Linked DNA regions of Sus scrofa. The protein of the gene in region 1 binds, or shares a complex with, the protein of each later gene. Links are inferred from orthologs where the notes say so. Each region holds a gene or a part of one and is shown on either strand. Other genes may lie near its edges.

Evidence for each region.
Region 2: CNOT11 (region 1) and CNOT7 share a complex: the UniProt entries of both Homo sapiens proteins name them as parts of the CCR4-NOT complex. The link is inferred for Sus scrofa from reciprocal best matches to the Homo sapiens genes CNOT11 and CNOT7.
Region 3: CNOT11 (region 1) and CNOT8 share a complex: the UniProt entries of both Homo sapiens proteins name them as parts of the CCR4-NOT complex. The link is inferred for Sus scrofa from reciprocal best matches to the Homo sapiens genes CNOT11 and CNOT8.

What each region holds. Positions count from the first base shown.
Region 1 is NC_010445.4:53,074,776-53,078,423, forward strand, and holds part of CNOT11 (CCR4-NOT transcription complex subunit 11), read right to left. Parts: intron 2,817-3,648; coding exon 2,652-2,816; intron 1-2,651. UniProt on the Homo sapiens protein: Component of the CCR4-NOT complex which is one of the major cellular mRNA deadenylases and is linked to various cellular processes including bulk mRNA degradation, miRNA-mediated repression, translational repression during translational initiation and general transcription regulation.
Region 2 is NC_010459.5:4,943,482-4,947,129, forward strand, and holds part of CNOT7 (CCR4-NOT transcription complex subunit 7), read right to left. Parts: intron 2,419-3,648; coding exon 2,225-2,418; intron 1-2,224. UniProt on the Homo sapiens protein: Has 3'-5' poly(A) exoribonuclease activity for synthetic poly(A) RNA substrate. Its function seems to be partially redundant with that of CNOT8.
Region 3 is NC_010458.4:68,349,124-68,353,451, forward strand, and holds the start of CNOT8 (CCR4-NOT transcription complex subunit 8), read right to left. Parts: upstream 2,898-4,328; 5' UTR 2,776-2,897; intron 1,039-2,775; exon of another isoform or gene 991-1,038; intron 979-990; exon of another isoform or gene 795-978; intron 1-794. UniProt on the Homo sapiens protein: Has 3'-5' poly(A) exoribonuclease activity for synthetic poly(A) RNA substrate. Its function seems to be partially redundant with that of CNOT7.

The DNA.
Region 1 (3,648 bases):
AAAAAAAAAAAAGCCTAAATAAATACAGTGTGCTTCCACATACACAGATATCAGGAACAAGCATGGTTAAACTCTAGGCATGCTCAAGAGGGAGGGCTAGACAGTAGACAGCAAACTATTAACAGAAAACTCAGGTTAATAATGGGGCTGGAGGGCAGTAATTGAGAAATGCACAGGGAACTTCTAGGTCCTAAAAATATTCCTCCTTCCCCCTCCCCTTTTTACAGCCACACATGTAGAACACAGAAGTTCCTAGGCTAGGGATGGAATCAGAGCTGCAGATGCCAACCTATGCCATAGCCACAGCAACACCAGATGCGAGCTGCATCTGCAGCCTATGCTGCAGCTTGCAGCAACACCAGATCCTTAACCCACTGAGCCACAGGGGGAACTCTAATATTGCTCTTCTCAATTTTAATGGTGGCTGCTCCAGATCTGCTTTAAGAGACCATTAACCCAATGGAAAAATGGCTAGAGACATAAAAGATGTTTAACCTTATTCACTTCATAGGAAAAATGCAATTTTTTATCTCATTTTGCTGAAATACAAAAGGTAGGAAACATACTATTGACCAAGATATAGACAACATTTTTAAATTGGCACACTGTGGTACAAGCGTAGGTGTTTTGCAGAAATTTTAACAAGATAAAATTCTGCCCCTTGTATTTATTTCTGTTTAATTTGCCTGCTTGTTTTCTGAGAATTAGGAAAATGCAACCGCATCAGCCATAAATACACTTTGGTCGTGGATCCCATGAAGACATCTGAATCTCAGGCCGGCTGCTGTAGAGATCAGCTGTGTAGCCAGCGCCAGAGAAGATGGTGCATGCACTTTTTTTTTTTTTCCTTAAGTACTTGTGAAAAGACTGGATTAAGACATCCTCAGTCTGGGCAGAGGACAGCAAAGAGCTTAGGGCTCTTTGCTTAAGAGGGTAGCTGCTGTGCCAGGCTTCTCCGTCCTAATTCTGGTCACCTATTTCTCAGCTTGACATAACTTTAAAAGTTTTGCATTGGCTGATCGGTCATCACAGTTGAAAAGGAGATCAGATCCAATTCTTTATTGAATACAAAGCCAGAACCCTCAGAATATACACTGCTTCTAAAAGTAGGACTGAAATTGCTCATCATTTCTCCAACCAGTTTTCATCCTGTGGTTAAGGAAACAGTTGCTTTATGTCTGTAAATAGACTGCATCTGGCATTGTGGCTAATAAGCACTTTTACACAAACCATGAGACCCATGCAACCTTCAATCTTAAAAGTCTGAAAAAGATTTCTCTTGGTCACAGAAAATTGTTATATTATTAGTATCTAGGAGTTCCCACTGTGACACAGGGGTAAAGAATATGACTTCGGCAGCTTGGAGGTGCTGGGAGCAAGGGTTCGAACTCTGGCAGGGTAACTTCCATGTGTTGTGGATGTGGCCATTAAAAAAAAAAAAAAACTAGTAGTTTAAAAATGAGGTTTAGAATACTCCAAGGAGGAGTTCCCATTGTAGCTCAGCAGAAATGAACCCAAATAGTATCCATGAGAATTTGGTTTCAATTCGGGCCTTGCTCAGTGGGTTAAGGATCTGGGGTTGCCATAAGCTTTGGTGTGGACTGCAGACATGGCTCAGATTTGGCACTGCTGTGGTGTAGGCTGGCAGCTGCAGCTCCGACATGACCTCTGATCTGGGAACTTCCATATTCCATGGATGCAACCCTGAAGGAAAAAAGAGAATACTCCAAGGAAAAGTTTATTGAAAGATGTCACCTTATATAAAATGCCAAATGTCACAGGTGCATGAAGTCCAAGAAGGAGGGTGTGCTGTCAAAACTAACCCTGAAGCTCATGTATTCACAAGGTCATGGGTTCATGGATCTGGCTAAAGATCAGAATTTCCCCATTGAAGCACTCTTAGGCGATGAGACCCTTGCATCTCAACTTTTGCTTAAGGCGCCACAACAAGAACTCTGGTCCCGTTACTTTCCATCACATCACAAGTGGGCTTCAAGAACACCTCTATATTTGCTTGTATATGTAACACAGAAGGTGCCAAAATGTTTAAACAAAGGAACAAAGTGGAGATCTCACACACTGATTTCAAAAAAGCTACCGTATGGCTTGTTGGATTGGTGTCTAGCTCCCTAAATAAAACCTTTTTTACATGTAAGAAAAAAAAAAAAGACCTACCCTGCCTGAAAATGTGGTACTAGAATAAAGACAAACTGACATAGAAAAGAGAGCCCAGAAATAAACCCTCCCATATATATTCAAATGATTTTCAACAAAGGAGCCAAGAAAGCACTGTTTACTATTCAGGGTCCCTTGAGGTTCCATATGAATTTTCTATTTCTGCAAAACACACCGTTGGGATTTTGATAGAAACTACACTGAATCTGCAGATTGCTTTGAGTAGAAATGTTATCCAGGAAATTTTAAATAGACCAAGTTTTATTCAGCATTTTTCTTAAATAAGGAAAGCAATCGATTCAAGTGGAAACTGAAAATGATATGTCTATCCCATAACAGCAAGGATCCAGTACCAAATCTATGCTTTTCATGGAAAATACATTTTGGCATAAAGACCTTCATTTTAAGTGGAGCATCGCAAGAAAAAAGGCCTAATGCTACCACACAAGACCACCTGAGGCAGGATCCCTCCTTACCGGCCAAGGCCAGCTGAAGCCCGCTGATGTCCACGGACTGGCCCATATTTCCGACATCCATCAAGGCAATCTGTCGAGGGGTCTTTTTGAAGAGTTCCCTTGGGGGTGCCAGCATCAGCTGGGAAAGAAAAAACTTTTCTGGTGGAGTTATAGGAGGTAAAAAGCCTGTAAACAAAAACGTATAACAATTTCTCTAATAGTTATTTTTTAAAATTATCTTAAATCTGCTCAAATTAGCATTTGCTCCTTGCCACCTCAACTCACCTCTTTATTTTTATTTATTTTTTTTGTCTTTTTGCCTTTTCTAGGGCCGCTCCCGTGGCACATGGAGGTTCCCAGGCTAGGAGTCTAATGGGAGCTGTAGCTGCCGGCCTACGCCAGAGCCACAGCAACTCAGGATCAGAGCTGCGTCTGCATCCTCAACCCACTGAGCAAGGCCAGGGATCGAACCCGCAAACCTCATGGTTCCTAGTCGGATTCGTTAACCACTGAGCCACGACGGGAACTCCAACTCACCTCTTTAAAGACAAAATTTTAATTGAAGATTCATTTCATCAAATTTATTTATGCAAATGTAATTAAATAGGAACGGTTCCAGGACCTGCTGTGAACAGCAAAATCCAAAGGTACTTAGGTCCCTTAAGTAAAGTGGTGTAATATTTGCATAGAACCTGCACGCATCCTCCCTTATACTTTATAAATAATCACTACTCACAATACCTAATACAATGTAAATGATACATAAACAGTTGTAAGTACTATGTAAATACTACATAAGTACAATGGAAATACTATGTAAACAGTCACCAAAATTTAGGGTTTGCTTTCTGGAACTCTCTGGAATTTCTTTTGCCCCTTGAATATTTTCTACCAGGGGCTGACTGAATCCTAGGATGCAGAACCTGAGGATACAGAGGGCAGACTAAATGTCAACTGAAATTCTATGATTTGTGACAATGTCGATGAAACTTAAGGTTTTTATAACTACTAAGAATTT
Region 2 (3,648 bases), on another chromosome or scaffold:
CAGTACCAGGAAGAAGACCAAATGCGAAGCATCTGATGTGACTGAGTGAAACTACATTCTATCTTAAATAAAAAGGAGATGCCTCCTCTAACGATGAGCCTTTCAAATGGCCCCGATAAACAGTAAACTGCTTAAAATGAAGAACTCTGCTAGAATAACTCTGCTCTCCTAACCTTATTCCTAGAAGACTACCTTTCAAAAGTCAAGCTAGGATATCTAAACTTAAATAAGAATTTAAGCTACAAGAGGGCAATGATTTTTGTCTGTTTTGTTCAATGTTATGTCACCAGGGAGTATCATATTATTTAAACCAGTATTTCCCAAACTTGCCCAATGATAACCAACATTCAGAGAACTTAGCAAAATATGGATTCCCAAGTCCCACACCTGGACCATTTAAGTCACAATCTCAAGAGAAAAACCTCTGGGTTTCACCATCAGATATCATATTCTACTTCAATTTTCATGTACATATCAACTTCAAATCCAGTTTACAGTGAATTCCCAAACACTGATCTGGACCTACCAATTCTAATTCTTGGACTTGGGCAAAAGAAAACAGAAGACATAACTATAACACTAGGTTATAATGACCATGACCAACTTTTCTCAACACTATGTTCCCCGGTGCTGACACATTCAGTCTAGGCAATCAATGAAAAAGCCAATTTTCATCTTTCTTTGAAATATCCAAGATTCTGTTCATGTTCACGGTTCTTTCTCCACATCACATGGTACTGGTTTTATCCTCCAACTGACCCTCTCTAGTTAAATATTTTCCACTCTATCCTTAAACATCTCTTAAGACATTAATGTTAGTATGAATGGTAGCAAAACTATAGCAGTATTCTGTATAAGAAAAAATATCTTTCAAAGATTTTAATAACAAAGCAGTTATTAAAACAAAAATGTTTCTAGAAAAAAAAAAATGTCAACTTAACCAAAACTGAAAAACACTGATCGGTGTCCTCCTACTCACGTACCGAGATCACAACAATACCTTAGTAAAGAACAATGTTCTAATGATGAACTTTGAAAAAAAAAATAACATGCAACCAAGGAAATAGTAGAATACTAATCTTAAAAAGGGTTATCTTTCCAGGAAAGGAGAAAAGGCAATTTTGAGAACTACACACTTATAAAAGTTACTGTCAGTTTGAATAGATGAGAGTACCTTGTACCCTTTACGAAATTCCAGAAAGTACATTATTAAATCCAACAGAGTGAAACAGTCATGCTAAACATAGCCATACTACTGCACCATTGACCATCTAAAATCATCAGCCCTGCTTTTCTTTAGATCTTATATGCTAAATAGCACATCACAGAGAATGGGAGGTTCTTACAATGGCACCACCATTCATTGTCCTACAACTTCTTTTACTATTTTTCAAATCAGATGTTAGATCATATGACACAAGCAGAGGCTGTGCAGTAGAAGAATAGCGCAGTATAGTAACATACTCAAAATGTATCAAACATTTCCCATCTTACAGTTTGTAACCAATCTGCCCTCACCCCCAATCAGTGGAAACTTCCCAAAACTATCAAGACTACTCCTACCAATGATATAGAAGTAGTATAAGTAAGGAAACTGGGTTCTGATCCAGATTTGAGTAAGAATTCAGATTCTGAATTGTTTCTAAAAGAAATACCAGGCTCAAGGCTACTATTACTCCTCCTATATATAACTGATAAAAAGTTCTATGGGCTGACTAGAAACATAAGCATTATAAAATACTGATATGAAAGGAAAAGGCACTCAAGTTTCTAAAAAATATTTTAGCACTTTTGATGTGTAATCTACACATAAACTGAAGTATGACCATAATAAAAATCTCTTCACAAGAAGAATAATTATTACAACAGAGACATGTATGTTTCAAATTCCAAAGTTTGAAAGCAAAATTAAGATACGGTTATTTATTCTACTGATACTTTCAATACCCAATTTTCCAAATTTCAAAGTAGTGCCAGTCGTACTTTTCAAGTAACATCTCTAAAACTCAAAATATTAGAATTTAAAAGTCTTCTTTATCCTGATTTTTTTGCCCCATTTAAAAAAAAAACAAAAAAACAAAAACACCTTGTGAAATTTAAGGTTTTAAGTATTTCCAGGATAACGATACCAAATTTAATTAGAATTTCATTTGTCACATTTCAGGGAAATTCACTTCTAAAATCAAACTAAAACAGGTTTGAATTATATTTATTTCCCACTTACGTCAAATTAAATTTAAAATTAAACTGCCAAGTTGAAGTTCCTGGAGGGTATTCTCCTTGCTCATTCATAAATGTCAGTCCTAGCTGAATTATCTTTAACAAGTCTACATTACACCGCAATAGTTGGTACTGATAGTCGGCATTACTCCTGAATTCTCCAATGGGTCTTGCAACCACACCTGGAAACTCGGTGTCCTGTAAAATATTTTAAGGTTTATTATTTACTAAATGGTTGAAAGCACAATCCACAAATAATTAAAATAATTAATTTGGGGTACAAGTCAAAGACTCTTGATATAGGTGATGTTCTACACAATTCATATTCGATTACAAAGTACCTTTTAACTAGGAAGAGCATTACTTTTTAGAACCATAAAATAAAACTCTCCAAACTTAAATGACTTCTTACTTTAAATACTGCATCAGTAAAAAAATTACTATGTGTAAGATACACACAATACATGCAACTAAGTATTCCCAAGGAAGGAGGAAAAAAATCACAAATACATGTTGCTCACAGTATTCTAATGCTAAAATCAATGAAGAACTGGTTAAAAAGAATAGAAAATGCATCATACTTTCCAACTGCTTTTCTGAAATAAGGTTTATCTAAACACCAAAACCTTAATTTCTTGTGCTAAACAGTATTCTTTTTACAGTCCAAAGAAAGCATGACCTTAAAAACTTCATGCCACCACTTATTCCTGTAAAATGTTATGGCATCTCTAATGTTTTTCATTCCTTATCGCCTGAGAAATAAATTATCTGAATGAATTTCTACTGGAAAAAAATAACTTCAATTCTAATTATGGGTGAGAACATCTATTATATAAAACATTATCTATGTACACTCAAATATTTATATTTTAACAAACTACCTGCTCCTCTCAAAAAAAGCATATTTATTTTCTTATGTTCAATATACTAATAATACATCAGTTTAATATTAAAATGCAAATTAGGAAACTAAAAACAAAACCTAAATAACAACTTACTCTGAAGCAGTAAAGAAATTAAAACTTTTCTAAATTCAGTCCAACTCAACAACCACTTTATTGGATGCAACGTGTTAGGCTAGGTATTGGGGGTGGGGGGAGAAAGGATGATTAAGACACTAATCCCTTCTTGAAGCTAATAATCTAGAAAACAGCAGGTTCACCAAGACAGTGCCAAAGAAGCAAAATAATTAACTGAGTAGACAGTCTAGGCAGACTGAATAGTATATGCAAAACTAGAAACACTTAACAGCACAGTGTGTTCATGGAAATCCACTGATTAAAAAGCAAACACAAAACTGCAAATCAACAATGCTTCACCGGGAGATCAGAATTTTTTGGTTTGAGAAAAGACAAACAGGAGCTCCATCTGGTATTAACATTAAGCCTTAGTGTTGCTTGGAGCAGACCTGGCATTCACAGCTAAGTC
Region 3 (4,328 bases), on another chromosome or scaffold:
AAAATGGAAAAGGAAGTAGCAGCGCTTTAGAAGAAATGGCAGCCGCTCAGAAGAGGGTACAACTCCATACGCCGCCGCGGGGGCCGCCATCCTCCCCTCCCCGGCCCCCAGGAGCCCCAGCCAAACAGTGTCCCAAGACACCACCCTGGACGGAACCGCAGTTCAACCAGTTCTTAAAACCACTCATGTGGCCCAGGCCTGTGAGCTGGCTCCTACAGAGCCAAGAGCTCTGGGTCACGAAGCCAAAGAAAAGGAAAACTTGTGCAAGAACCAGGAGGAAGGAGGCGGCCCGCAAGGTTCCAAACTCTGGTCCTCTCCCTCCCACCGTCTCCCGTTATCTTCGATTCTCTTTCCGGATGACTCTTCCACTTAAAACCACCCTCAGCCCTCTCCACCTCCTTTTAACTACCCCCTTTTTTTTTGAGACAGACCTAAATTCGAAATCAGGACATGGACTAGCTGTGTTTGGCTTTGCATAAGTTACTTAGCCTCTCTCGTGCCTCAGTTTTCCCTTCTTGTAAAATGGGTTTAATGACGGTAAACATCTTGGAGGATTGCAGTAGAGGTTAACAGAATGAAACATACAAGGTGCTTTGTAAAGTCCGGGCACACATCACTAGAATATTACCGTGTGGCAGTGGTAGTTATTACGGCTATTATTCGATGGGCCTCTTTTTGTTTTCACACACCCAGTCCCTCACGCATACTCACACTCCTCTTCCTCCCGCAGGCCCTTAAAGCCTCCCACACACTCTCATCCCACACTCCTCTCTGATTAGCGCGGGCTCGCTTACCCTGACCCGCAGGGCCCGCGAAGCGCGGGCAGACGGGCTGCGGGGCAGACTCCCCGGGAGCTGTAGCAGCTGCCCCGACCCGACGTTCTTCTCACCCTGCCCGGGATCCGCTCCTAGAACCAAGCGGCCTAGTGAGATGGGCGCCCTCGTGCCCAGAGCGACCTTACGCACCACCCACCAAACAATCTGGTCGTACCACTCTATCCATCCGATCCGCCCGACTCGCCTGCTCTCTTCGCGTCACAGCAAACGCGCGCGCCTGACCCTCTCCGCCCCTCCCCTTCTGCGCGCCCCCGGAGACTCTGTCCGTGTTCGCTCAGCGCGAGAGCTCGCGAGAGCGACGCGCAGGCGCAAAACCAAGAGCGAGTCGCGAAAAAGGCGGGGCGGGGCAACCTCGGAGGAGGCCTTCGGAACCTTGCCTCCACCCACCCCAAGCCTACGCGCGATTAGTTGCGTCGGTTCAGTTCAGTTTGAGGACCGCCCCTCCATGTCGGTTCCCCTTCCGCGCGCTCGGGAAGGGGCGTGGTCTAGAACTAGCCCATCCCCGCGGGGGGCGTGCCTTGCTAGAGCAAAGGGTGTGGCCCGTCTGACCAAATACCCTAAATTACCAAAGTCCCTTCCTCCCTTCTTTGAAAGACCGTTAAAATCGTTGCCGGGAGCGAAGTTGGGGGCAGGATCGCTGGGGGAGCTCCTGACCCCCTTCCTTCTGTACTAACGCGGCCCCACTTACAAAACTTCTGCCTTAAGCTTCCTTTCCGGCAAACAATTGTTTGTGGGTGGGCCAGCACCCCCAAACCGAGTCTGGGTGACGTCCGCCGAGGCCCGCCTCCCTCCTCCCACCCTCGCCGGTTTGGGCAGCCAGCATTACCATAGCAGCCAGCCCGCTGGGGTTTGCTCGGGTAACAAAGAAGACGCTGCCCGGTGGGGGAGGCACTGGGCCAGCGCTGCCGCCCTCCCGCTTTCGGAGAACCTCCGAGACCTGGCGGACGCTAGGCGAGCTCGTGGGATCCTCCATACGAGAGCAGTGGTGCCCCGGCCTCGCTTAGCAGTATCCTTTTAGCCCCCACCTTCCCTCCGATTCACTGTGAATCCTATTTGAGAAGAGAGCTCTTTGCCAACACCTGTCCTTGGCAGTATTTGACCAGGCGGGGAAGGTTCAGCGCTGCCTCGCGTTCTCCAGCTGTGGGAGAGAAGACAAAGCGCTGGTTTCCCGCACACAGCTGACAATTCCAGGCCGCCCTCAGTCACCGGCTCAGAAACTCCACTCTATCCCTGAGGGACGGTGCAGCAGACTCCGCAGAGCATGGCTCTAGTTACACTCCTAGATGCCTCCACTCGAAGGGGGCTGCTGATAAGTGGATTTCAAATTCACCCCCGAATCACTGCGCCTTTCTACGTTTAAACATTACCTCCTAAAAGCAATCTCTAAAACCCCACATCCGTTTCCCAGGCTGGAGGCAGGGCAAGCCTTCATCGGCAATTCTAACCTAGAGTCCCAAAGGCTAGTCTCCAGGAAAGTGCACTCCCAACCCATCAAATGCACCTTCTGAACACGCCTCCTCTTCTCCCCTCCTGATGAGTCTGTTTCCTTCTCCCATAACATAGAGATATGAGTAACAATCTCACACAATGTCTGTGTTAATACATAGGAAAACCACACCGCACTAAGGAAGATATATAAGTGTATTCAACCAAGAAATGTTCCTAGGCGTTCCCTTCGCAGCTCACTGGTTAACGAACCATGAGGTTGCGGGTTCGATCCCTGGCCTTGCTCAGTGGGTTAAGGATCCAGCGTTGCCGTGAGCTGTGGGGTAGGTTGCAGACGCCGCTCAGATCCGGCGTTGCTGTGGCTCTGGTGTAGGCCAGCAGCTATAGCTCCGATTGGACCCCTAGCCTGGGAACCTCCATATGCCTCAGGTGCGGCCCTAGAAAAGGCAAAAAGACAAAAAAAGAAAAGAAAAAAGAAGTGTTTCTGGCCTGCCTCAGTTTGTCATCCGTGAGATATCCAGTCTGTGTTAGTGCTGCAGACTTAATCATTCTGTTCAGCAATACTGTGCCGAGAAAGCAGGCAAGACGCTCCTTTCCCCCGTCCTGTGAGTTTCTAATGTCCTTTCATACACTTGTAATTACTTTCAGGAGAGGATAGCCCTCTGGGGATCTAGTCATGTGAGGAACAGCTTGTTTTTTCCTGCAGCACTGGTCCTGGTGTCTGCTGAAACAATCAAACAGGAAACACACTCCATCTCCTACCCCACAATACCCCCTCTCCCAGAACTGTGTTCATTTCTCAGGTTACTGAAGGTAAAGGTAAAATGAACACACTGATCGCTTGTATTTCCAGAGAACTTGGAGTATTTGTGGAACAACGGATTTTATGTTGCACTTAGGCTATTGCAAAACTGGAACAATTGTGTAAACCGCTGATGGCAGGGAGAAGCACCAAAGGAATCAAAGGGTAGGTGGAAAAGAACATAGTCAATAATATAATTTCACATTTTAAGGGAAATGCAGCGACACTGGATCCTTAACTCAACCTGCTGCGCCACAAGGGAACTTCCAAAACGATTGTTTTTGAACTACAGACTATGGAAAGTAAGGCTTGAACACATCTTCTCAGCTGGGGGAGTATAGGTATAAAAAAACAGAAACATTGGTTGCAAAATGGGTCTCTGTAAGAACCAGGCAGGCTGATATCCTTAGCTAGACAAACCTTTCTATTATTACCAATTCTAAGTAAATCTAACAAGGTACATTTCTTAAGCTAGGAAATGTGTAGGAAAAGCTAAAATACATATTTGTGTTTGAAATATTTTGAAAGTGGGGCAGAAGGTAAATGCCTCCAGGCATATAATACCACTCACTCCATGAGCCCAAGTTTCAAAACTCTTTTTTTCTTTCTGCTTTTTAGAGCCGCATCTTTGGCATATGGAAGTGGGAACTATATTCTTTTCCTACACCAGAGCCACAGCAACTCAGGATCTGAGCTGAGTCTGAGACCTACATGACAGCTCACAGCAACACTGGATCCTTACCCAGCTGAGCAGGGTCAGGGATCAAACCTGCAACCTCATGGATACCAGTCAGGTTCGTTATTGCTGAGCCACAACAAGAACTCCCTCAAAATTCTTTTTTTTTTTTTTTTCTTTTTGGCCACACCCTTGGCATATGGAGTTTCCCAGGCTAGGAGTCAGATTAGAGCTGTAGTTGCTGGCCTACACCACAGCCATAGCCACGCAGGATCTGAGCCACACCTGCGACCTATACCACAACTCCTGGCAACGCTAGATCTTTAACCCACTGAGCAAGGCGAGGGATCGAACCTGCATCTTCATGGATGCTATTCAGTTTTGTTTCCGCTGAGCCAGGACAGGAACGCTCCCCTCAAACTTCTTTACATTCCTTAGAGTAATGCTGACATACCTAGATGCCTATCAATTGAGTAATACCATTGTTACAGTGCCCTTGGCCTCAAGCTTAGCCAGGGTCAGTCGCCTTATTTAATGTTGTTTTTTTATCAGATCATATATATATCTT